Linked DNA regions of Nothobranchius furzeri. The protein of the gene in region 2 purifies or fractionates together with the protein of the main gene of each other region. This does not show direct contact. Links are inferred from orthologs where the notes say so. Each region holds a gene or a part of one and is shown on either strand. Other genes may lie near its edges.

The links.
Region 1: the proteins of l3mbtl1 (region 2) and anapc1 purify together in Homo sapiens (affinity purification with mass spectrometry; 4 studies listed by BioGRID and IntAct, counting the BioPlex papers as one, with this or other methods). This does not show direct contact. The link is inferred for Nothobranchius furzeri from reciprocal best matches to the Homo sapiens genes L3MBTL1 and ANAPC1.

What each region holds. Positions count from the first base shown.
Region 1 is NC_091752.1:26,818,888-26,822,708, reverse strand, and holds part of anapc1 (anaphase-promoting complex subunit 1), read right to left. Parts: intron 2,939-3,821; coding exon 2,764-2,938; intron 2,635-2,763; coding exon 2,429-2,634; intron 1-2,428. UniProt on the Homo sapiens protein: Component of the anaphase promoting complex/cyclosome (APC/C), a cell cycle-regulated E3 ubiquitin ligase that controls progression through mitosis and the G1 phase of the cell cycle.
Region 2 is NC_091755.1:32,903,837-32,907,757, reverse strand, and holds the start of l3mbtl1 (lethal(3)malignant brain tumor-like protein 1), read right to left. Parts: upstream 2,531-3,921; 5' UTR 2,369-2,530; intron 2,363-2,368; exon of another isoform or gene 1,844-2,362; intron 1,673-1,843; 5' UTR 1,647-1,672; coding exon 1,481-1,646; intron 889-1,480; coding exon 704-888; intron 550-703; coding exon 423-549; intron 102-422; coding exon 1-101. Other genes in the region: srsf6a (serine and arginine rich splicing factor 6a), read right to left, coding at 3,555-3,921. UniProt on the Homo sapiens protein: Polycomb group (PcG) protein that specifically recognizes and binds mono- and dimethyllysine residues on target proteins, thereby acting as a 'reader' of a network of post-translational modifications.

The DNA.
Region 1 (3,821 bases), on a different chromosome or scaffold from region 2:
CTCTGCAGGGTGACCTCTGCAAAAGAACCACTTCTAAAAATACTCATTTTGATGCTTATCCAAAGCTACAGTCACTGCAGCAGTGCGGGTCATAGGCTGGCAAATTTAAAATATTACAATGTGTGAATGAAATCAAAAGGTCAGTTTAATTATTGCTACAGCTGGTGACACGTGTGTAATGTCACATTAGAGAAACCGAGTCGTTTAGCTGATAATAGGTCAAGGGCAGGAAGCTGAGGATCTAGTTAGAGTCTGTAGATAATGGTATGTACAACACCACACTCAAAGACTCGTGTGCGTGTGTGTGTGCGCGCGTACATGCAGCAGTCAAATGATGTGAGTGTACATGTAGTCTGCTTCCAAAAAGATTAAGACACTAAAAGTGTTTTCATTTGGGTTTAAGAAGAACAAACCTGTAGCAATGAGAATTGCTCTTAACCGTGTGTTCCGCCCGGAGTCTAGAGAGTGTAACACCGGAGGGTGAGAGATAGACACACATGTCTGATTAAGTGTTCAATAAAGGTTTGCCTCGGACGAGGAAAAGTCAACTGAGCATCTTGTGGAATTTATAGAAAGAACAAGATGAAACAAAACCTGGAGCAGGTGAGGTGACTTAACCAACAAATGCATCCGTAAGTTCAATTAACACTGAGGTGTAAGTTATGTGAAATCACAAAATGTTAGAAGATTCCTCAATAAAGTCAAGAAGAAAAGTGAATAAAAGCAGCTTGTGTTTCCAAAACCTAACCCCGGCTTTCCACTGGATGTGTATTTGTTACATAAAACGTAGCAGATAGCTGTTGCTGTAGTCAGCGGGTGTGTTTCAACCGGGCACAATCGGACATCTTGGATGCGTCCTAGAGGGGAATTGTTGCATCGCTATGCAACATTTATGATTCGTGAATTTATTTATTTATTTATTTATTTTACACACTACACTTCCAGGATGAGTCAAGCAAACACTTTTGATTTGGCCAGACAAGAAATCAAACACAAAAGTTGTGTAAAACCAGCAAATTCCTAAGTAAAAGACCAGGGGCCTAATTTATCAAGCTTGCTTACGCACAAAACGGCATCTGAAAACTGTGTAAGCAACTTTCCACGCTAACTTTGGGATTTATGAAAGAAAACTTTGCAGAAAAATGTGCGCAACTTTAAGTTGACTAAGGACCTGGCTTACACACATTTTGGACATGGAGAGCACCTGCAGTGCTGTTGCTGAGAAGGATAAAATTATGAAATCCTGCAGCTTTATCACTTGTACTGCTTCGTTTTCACACAGAACAAGACCCCCCCCCCCCCCCCCCCCCCCCCCACACACACACACACACACACACACACAGCCTGAAGCCAGAATGCAGAATATCAGCAGGGGGACAGATTGAGACAGAATGACATGCGTCTGTGACAGTGTGTGTCCTGTCACTGTGACCCGATTGATCATGTGCCCTGGCTAGTTGGACAAGGGAGATCTCCGTTTGGCTGACTGGTTAGCACACATGACTTTCACCCGAGAGTCTGGGGATCGAATCCCGGTTGGACCATTTTTTACATCCGCCACAGATCTCTCTGAAGAATTCACAGCATTGACGGCTTTAGCAACGTTGTGCCACTCTGTGGATTTTCTCTTATTTGTTTTGCAAAAGCACTTCCTTTCATTTCTCCACCTCACCCACAAGTACCTCAATTTCTGCTTGTGAAATTGCGCTTCCTTGATCTGCCTTGATCTACGGTCGGCATGTCATTGGCGGAGCGCTGCAACAGCCGGCTTATGTACATGCATGAGATTCACACGCCACTTTGCATTGACTATTCATGGCAGTAAGTGGGCGTGGTGAGGGCGGGATGTGACTAAAAAGCAGCTGAGAACCTTTCTAGATAGTTTCTGATTTATGAAGCGGAGATTGCGTGCAGCTGTGCGTACTCCATGTTTGATAGATCACAAACCTACTTGGCGTAAGTAAATTTCTTTTGCTAAGCTTAAGTGCGGCTTTAGTAAGGATTCTACGCAATGTTTGATGAATGAGACCCCAGCAGATTTCCAGTTGCTTAATTAGTAATATATATATAAATATATATATATATATATATATATATATATATATATATTTTTTTTTTAAGTACATCCTTTCCAGTAAAACCTGTAGCAGAGGCAAAAAGAACAAAAAATAAACCACAGACTTTTGGATACATGCTGCCATCTTTCTCCTTGCTTATCATGTGAACTTGTGATTCTCCGGTGATTTTGTGACCTTGCAGGGCTGGCAGTGCAGAACGCTCTAGCTGCCAATTTGTGTCTTTGTGGTAAAGAAAATAGGGTCTCTACTACGTTTTGCGCTGCTTACGCACCCAGTGGAAAGTCTGGGTAGCATGTATTTTCTTCTGATGTTGAAAAAAACACCCTGTCCATGTACAAATGTTTTCTTACCTGCCACCTCCCAGAAAGAGCAGACCCAGAGCCATGTGATGAGCCATGTGGAAGCCATAGTTCATCTCGCCGCCCGTTCTCTTGTGAAAGAAGCGACAGAGCTGCAGGACCTTCAGGTTTCCCGTGCCTGCCATCACCATGGACATAGCCAGCAGAATCATTGACAGACATGTTTGCAGGTTGTAATAACCCATCTGCTGGAGGGACTATAACACGTGACAGAGAAGAGCAAGACATGTAAACATCTCAACAGATAAAACGATTCACATATCTTCATAACTTTTAGAGTTAGTTAAGGAAGATGGGGGGGGGGGGGGGGGGGGGGACGCACGTACAGCACTCACAGCAGCTGTACCAGCAAAGGGCATCATCTTCATGAAGGTCCTGGCAAACTCATAAAGGCAGTCGAAGGCATCAGAATTGGCGGAGCCGGCAAAGCGTAACCCTAATGCCATACAGGCTCCAGCTGTAATGTAGTCTTCAGCTTGGCTGAGAAAAACATCACATTTTCTGATCAAACATGGAGGGAAACAGAACGACATCACCAACACAGCTGTAGCAGTTCATGACATCAGTGATTTAGTTATAGAAGCTAAGTTTTCAGCATATAACTCATCAGAAGTTGCCTCAAAGCTACAATGGCTAATTTGGAAAACAAGCTAGCTTAAAACGGTTTTTTTTTCATGCCTCGAAACAACGCTCTAACATAATACGTCTATAAATATTTTGTGGCGATTGAAAAAAAAAATTGTAATAATTAAGTTTTTCTCTCGCATTTGTCTAAAAATCTCCACCGATAACAAAGCTCGGACCAAACCCAACCACTGGACCATCCGGTTGTCTGTCTCACCAAACCATCTGGGGCCTCCACTCATTAGGCGCTTGTGCATTTTGCATCAGAACACCACACGTGGGAGGTTCACGGCTCAATAGTATTAGAGAAACAGCCGGCTGCCACAGCTTCAACTTAAGGACAAACTAAAAAGAAAACCACCAATTGAAGTCACGGTCAACAAAAGACGTTTGGACCTAGAAAACAGTGACTGGTGTGTAGCGCTCTCCCATTTCCTCTGTCAAGTTGGGTTTTTGGTTCTGGCGGACGTGCTGCAGGGATGCCAGCCGACAGGAGGGGAGAGTGTTCGTTGCAGCGTTCGCATTTGAAGCTCGCTTGTTCTGTACAATTGCTTTTGCAGCTTCATTGGTGCCATGAAACTAATCTGAGTGTCAAATTATTAAGAGTATTTTTTTATTGTAAATTTAAACATCTTGTTCACTGAGATGCGTATAAGACTTGTACTTTTTGAAATACAATCTATCACGCTGAGTTGAATATGCATGCTGAATGTGAAAATATTCTTCAACCCCCATCGCCTGCGTTGACCGCACAAAGGAA
Region 2 (3,921 bases):
GTTCTGCTGATCTGATCCGACCTGAACTTCAGGTTTGACCAGTATCAACTTTTCTGGTTCCACCAACGCAGCTCTCACGGTCCCAGCAGGAGCAAACACATCTGTCAATCAGATTTATGAGACTTTTACTTCCTCCCAGTGTTGGATGTATTTAAAATGATGCAGCTGACGTGAGGACCACTCATCTGCACTTTTTGTGGATCACCAAAAAGTGGAAAATTCCTCAAATTTAAAGCAAATCACACTAAGAGGACACCCGCAAAACCCAACGTCCTCGATTTTCTTTCAAAACAATAAAACACAAGTGTAATTGCATTATAAAATACCTTTTAATGTGTGTGTGTGATGAGTATTTAAGCTACATGCATGCATTGTCCTTGTTCCCTGGAGCTACTGCAACCTTCCAAAAACATGACTCTCACTTGGCCTGTCTGGAGCATTTTCTGGATCAGTGGATTTCCCAGAAGTCCCTGCCGTTGGGTCAATGGCGCTGCTGGTGGTCCCTGAGGTTATCAGGGTGCTCAGAGTTCCTACGTCACTCACACAAAACTACACACAGACAGAAACAAACATGACTCTATGAATTTCTACAATGTTCTAACTTCTAAATAACCTCTAAAAGCACTTTAGTAAACATTCTAAATGAGAATGTGTCTGTGACCTGATTATAACCTCCTTCATCAGATCAGAGGTGTGCTCGTACCTTAAGGTTGCTACTGGGCAGGATGGCCATTCCCTCCTTCCACTCCAGGACGTGGACAATGCTACAAGCCCCGCCTACCTGCGCCGTCAAAGTGGATGTAGCCAACTCGTTTGGTCTGCTGCCTTTACCCGGGTTTCCCACGGCAACGGCCGGGGTCACCTCCACTTTCTGGTGGCCGGGAGCTGCTGAAAGCAACACATCAACACCCCAACTCATTAGTCTAAAATAAAATCAACTTTTTGTGCAATCTTGTTTACGCATTTGAAACTAAATCAAAGGATAAATCAGCTGGGGTTGAGAACAATCATATATATGAAACGAGTTGTCAAGATCATTTTAAGTAGCAATGATTATAAAGTATATTAAATTGTTTATTATCAGAGTTTTAAACCATCATTTAAAGCAGATCAGAGAAGAGGAAGGGCATTTATATTTGGGATGCACTGACTCTGGTTCTGAAAGCCGATACTAATTTGTGGTATGATTTCTCAAAGATTTACAATCAACAGCATAGAATTCCTTTAAGATGCTAAAATAAACTTGAAAGTTATTATTCTGGCCAGAAAAAAAACCTCTACAAAAAAGGCTTGTTGCTAGGGTGAATTGATGGTGAGTTCACAGACCTGGAAAAGTGTTCGTTTTTTTTTCTTCTGTTTTTGCTGCTTTTTAATTTGTAGACCCAGCTTCAGAATATTACACTGGCCAATCATTAGATGAGCTTAGACACTTCTCTTTCTCATGTCATGGTTTTCCCTTGAGTCTCAGACCTAAGCTCACCTGGCAGCAGGAGGGTTGTGGTGTTGTGCATCTGGGGCCGAGGCTTCTTGGCCAAGCTGTCACTGCTGCAGATGAGGATGGTCTCAGTGGTGGATGAGGCGGATGGGTCAATGGGGGTGCAGTCTGGGTCTTTGGATGGAGCCTCCATGTTCACTTTGGCACTCATACTGTGATCCCTGTTATTACTTTGTGCTAAGAAACCAAATGTGAAAACAATGACAGTAGGGAGAGCATCATTGTAGTTTAAATGGAATATAACAAATTATATTTACAGAGATTTAATTACAGTTTTACAGCCGCACTTTTGATTTTTTTAAAGCAAAACATCAGCGTCAAAGTGACTTTCCAACAACCATCCATTACCTCCAATGAAAGCAGGCAACAATGGTGACACACCAATATTTACGCGCAAGCCTTTCAACACACGCACGCACAAAAATATAGCATTTTAGTGAAAATGGCGGAGGATCTGAAATCTAAGAGGCCATAATAAAAATGTGTAAAAGCAATCTTTCTGTCCATGTGGAAGCGCCTCAGTAAAGCATTTAACCTCGTTATGAATTCCGCCATCGTCTCTGGTGAAGGAGCTTTATTCTAACCGTGGAGCGAGTTGCTTATTCTGGTAGTCAAACACGCAGCGCGGTCATCTAAATTTAACACTTGTCAACGCAAAATAATCACGTCTTAAACGAAATGGCATCTAAAGATCAAAAAGCTTTGTGGCTGAATACATCCGCTGGGAAATGTTGTCTTAGAATAAAATGTGTGTACATTTAAACGCAAAAAGCCGCATGGCAAGAATCCTTCTCTCAGATTATTGTATAAAAGTGATGTAGGAAGAGAAAATTCGCGTTTTTAGATTTTCCCATGAACTGAAAATTGTCTTACCAGCTCTGATCTCCTGCGGCGCGGAGGCTTTTGAGTGCGCATGCGCACAGCCAACAGTCACTGAACATTTTTAAATGCCAAAACATTTTCTTTTTGCAAATCATTACGCTATTAAGTTATTTTGATGGTTCATAAATAATTTATTCCTATTTAGAATCCCAGTCACGGTTCAAGCCCACCCCCCATTAGACCCCAATGACAGCACTTATATAATTAGCAGGATATAGGTCATGGCAATACAGTATAGACTTGATTAACAGACACCAAACCACTCATTTTGTAGTCTCGTTTAATTGAACGTACAATTTTTTTTATCCAATCTCAATCATAGGAGGAAATCTGTTGCAGAAGACAATGACACTGCAGACAAACTAGCCTGATTTGAATAAATTCCTCCTTCCACCTCAAGTACAAGGAGCACTCTTCAAATATACAAAAGTTTGACCCTACAAACCTCAGGTTAAAGGAGCAAAAATAACCAGGAGCTGGAAGAAAAAAAAAAAACTACCAAAACTTAAACGAAACAAACAAAAAAAACCCTTAAGTCATCTTTTAAAAGTCGTCGGATGTCCCATTCATGGAAAGTTATAAAGGATAACTTAACTGTGACGCAAGCCGCTCAGAGGTGAAATACTTTGATTGCAAATATGTGGAGAAAATAAGCTACAGCCTCTGAAAAATACTGATTAAATAAATTCTTGAGAAAGAAAAACTTGCTGGGGGCTAAATGTATACCACCCACCTAATTTGTTTAATAAATGGGAATGAAACATCAGTTCTAGTTTAATGAACAAAACGAGAAAGCTTAAAAGTGTGGTAAACATCAAGGGGGAGCTGTGGAACACAAAATTCATAGACAAGTTTTCACTAAAACACTTTTTAATGAAAGTAAACTGATGTAGGGAAAAAGAACCACCTGAAACAAGACTAAATGTTTAGCTCAGGACAACTGACATCTCAGATTGTGGCTGGAAGACCCAAAAGGTTTTCAGAACTGTTGTTTATGATTTAAGGAGGCGTATCTCAACACTACAGGGCTGCCCAGGATACACAAGCCTAGAGCAAATCAGCAAGGTAAACGCATACATGGAGAAAAGAAGTCAAAGCATAGACCAGTAATTACACAACACAGCTCACTATGTACAGTTTGATAACCAAGCTTAAAAAAGAAAACCACCCCCCTTCTCTATTCCTGAGAGGCTGATCTGGACCGAGAGCGAGACCTAGAGCGGGACACTGAACGAGATGCGGAACGCTTCTCCCTGGACTTTGACCGGCGACCCCCATCTCGTGGTGATGGGGAGCGGGACGCAGACTTGGTGGCACGCTCTGCTTTTCCATTTTCAACAGGGGACACTGAACGGCTGCGGGACTTCTTGTCACTGGACCTTTCCTTCGACCTACTACGGGAATCCCGTTCAGACTTTACCTTGGAACGACTTTTAGAGCGAGACTTAGATTTGCGGTCAGCTGAACGAGAACGAGACTTGTGAGAGGGTGAACGAGATTTAGACTTCTGGGAGCGAGAACGAGATCTTTTGGTGCGAGACCGT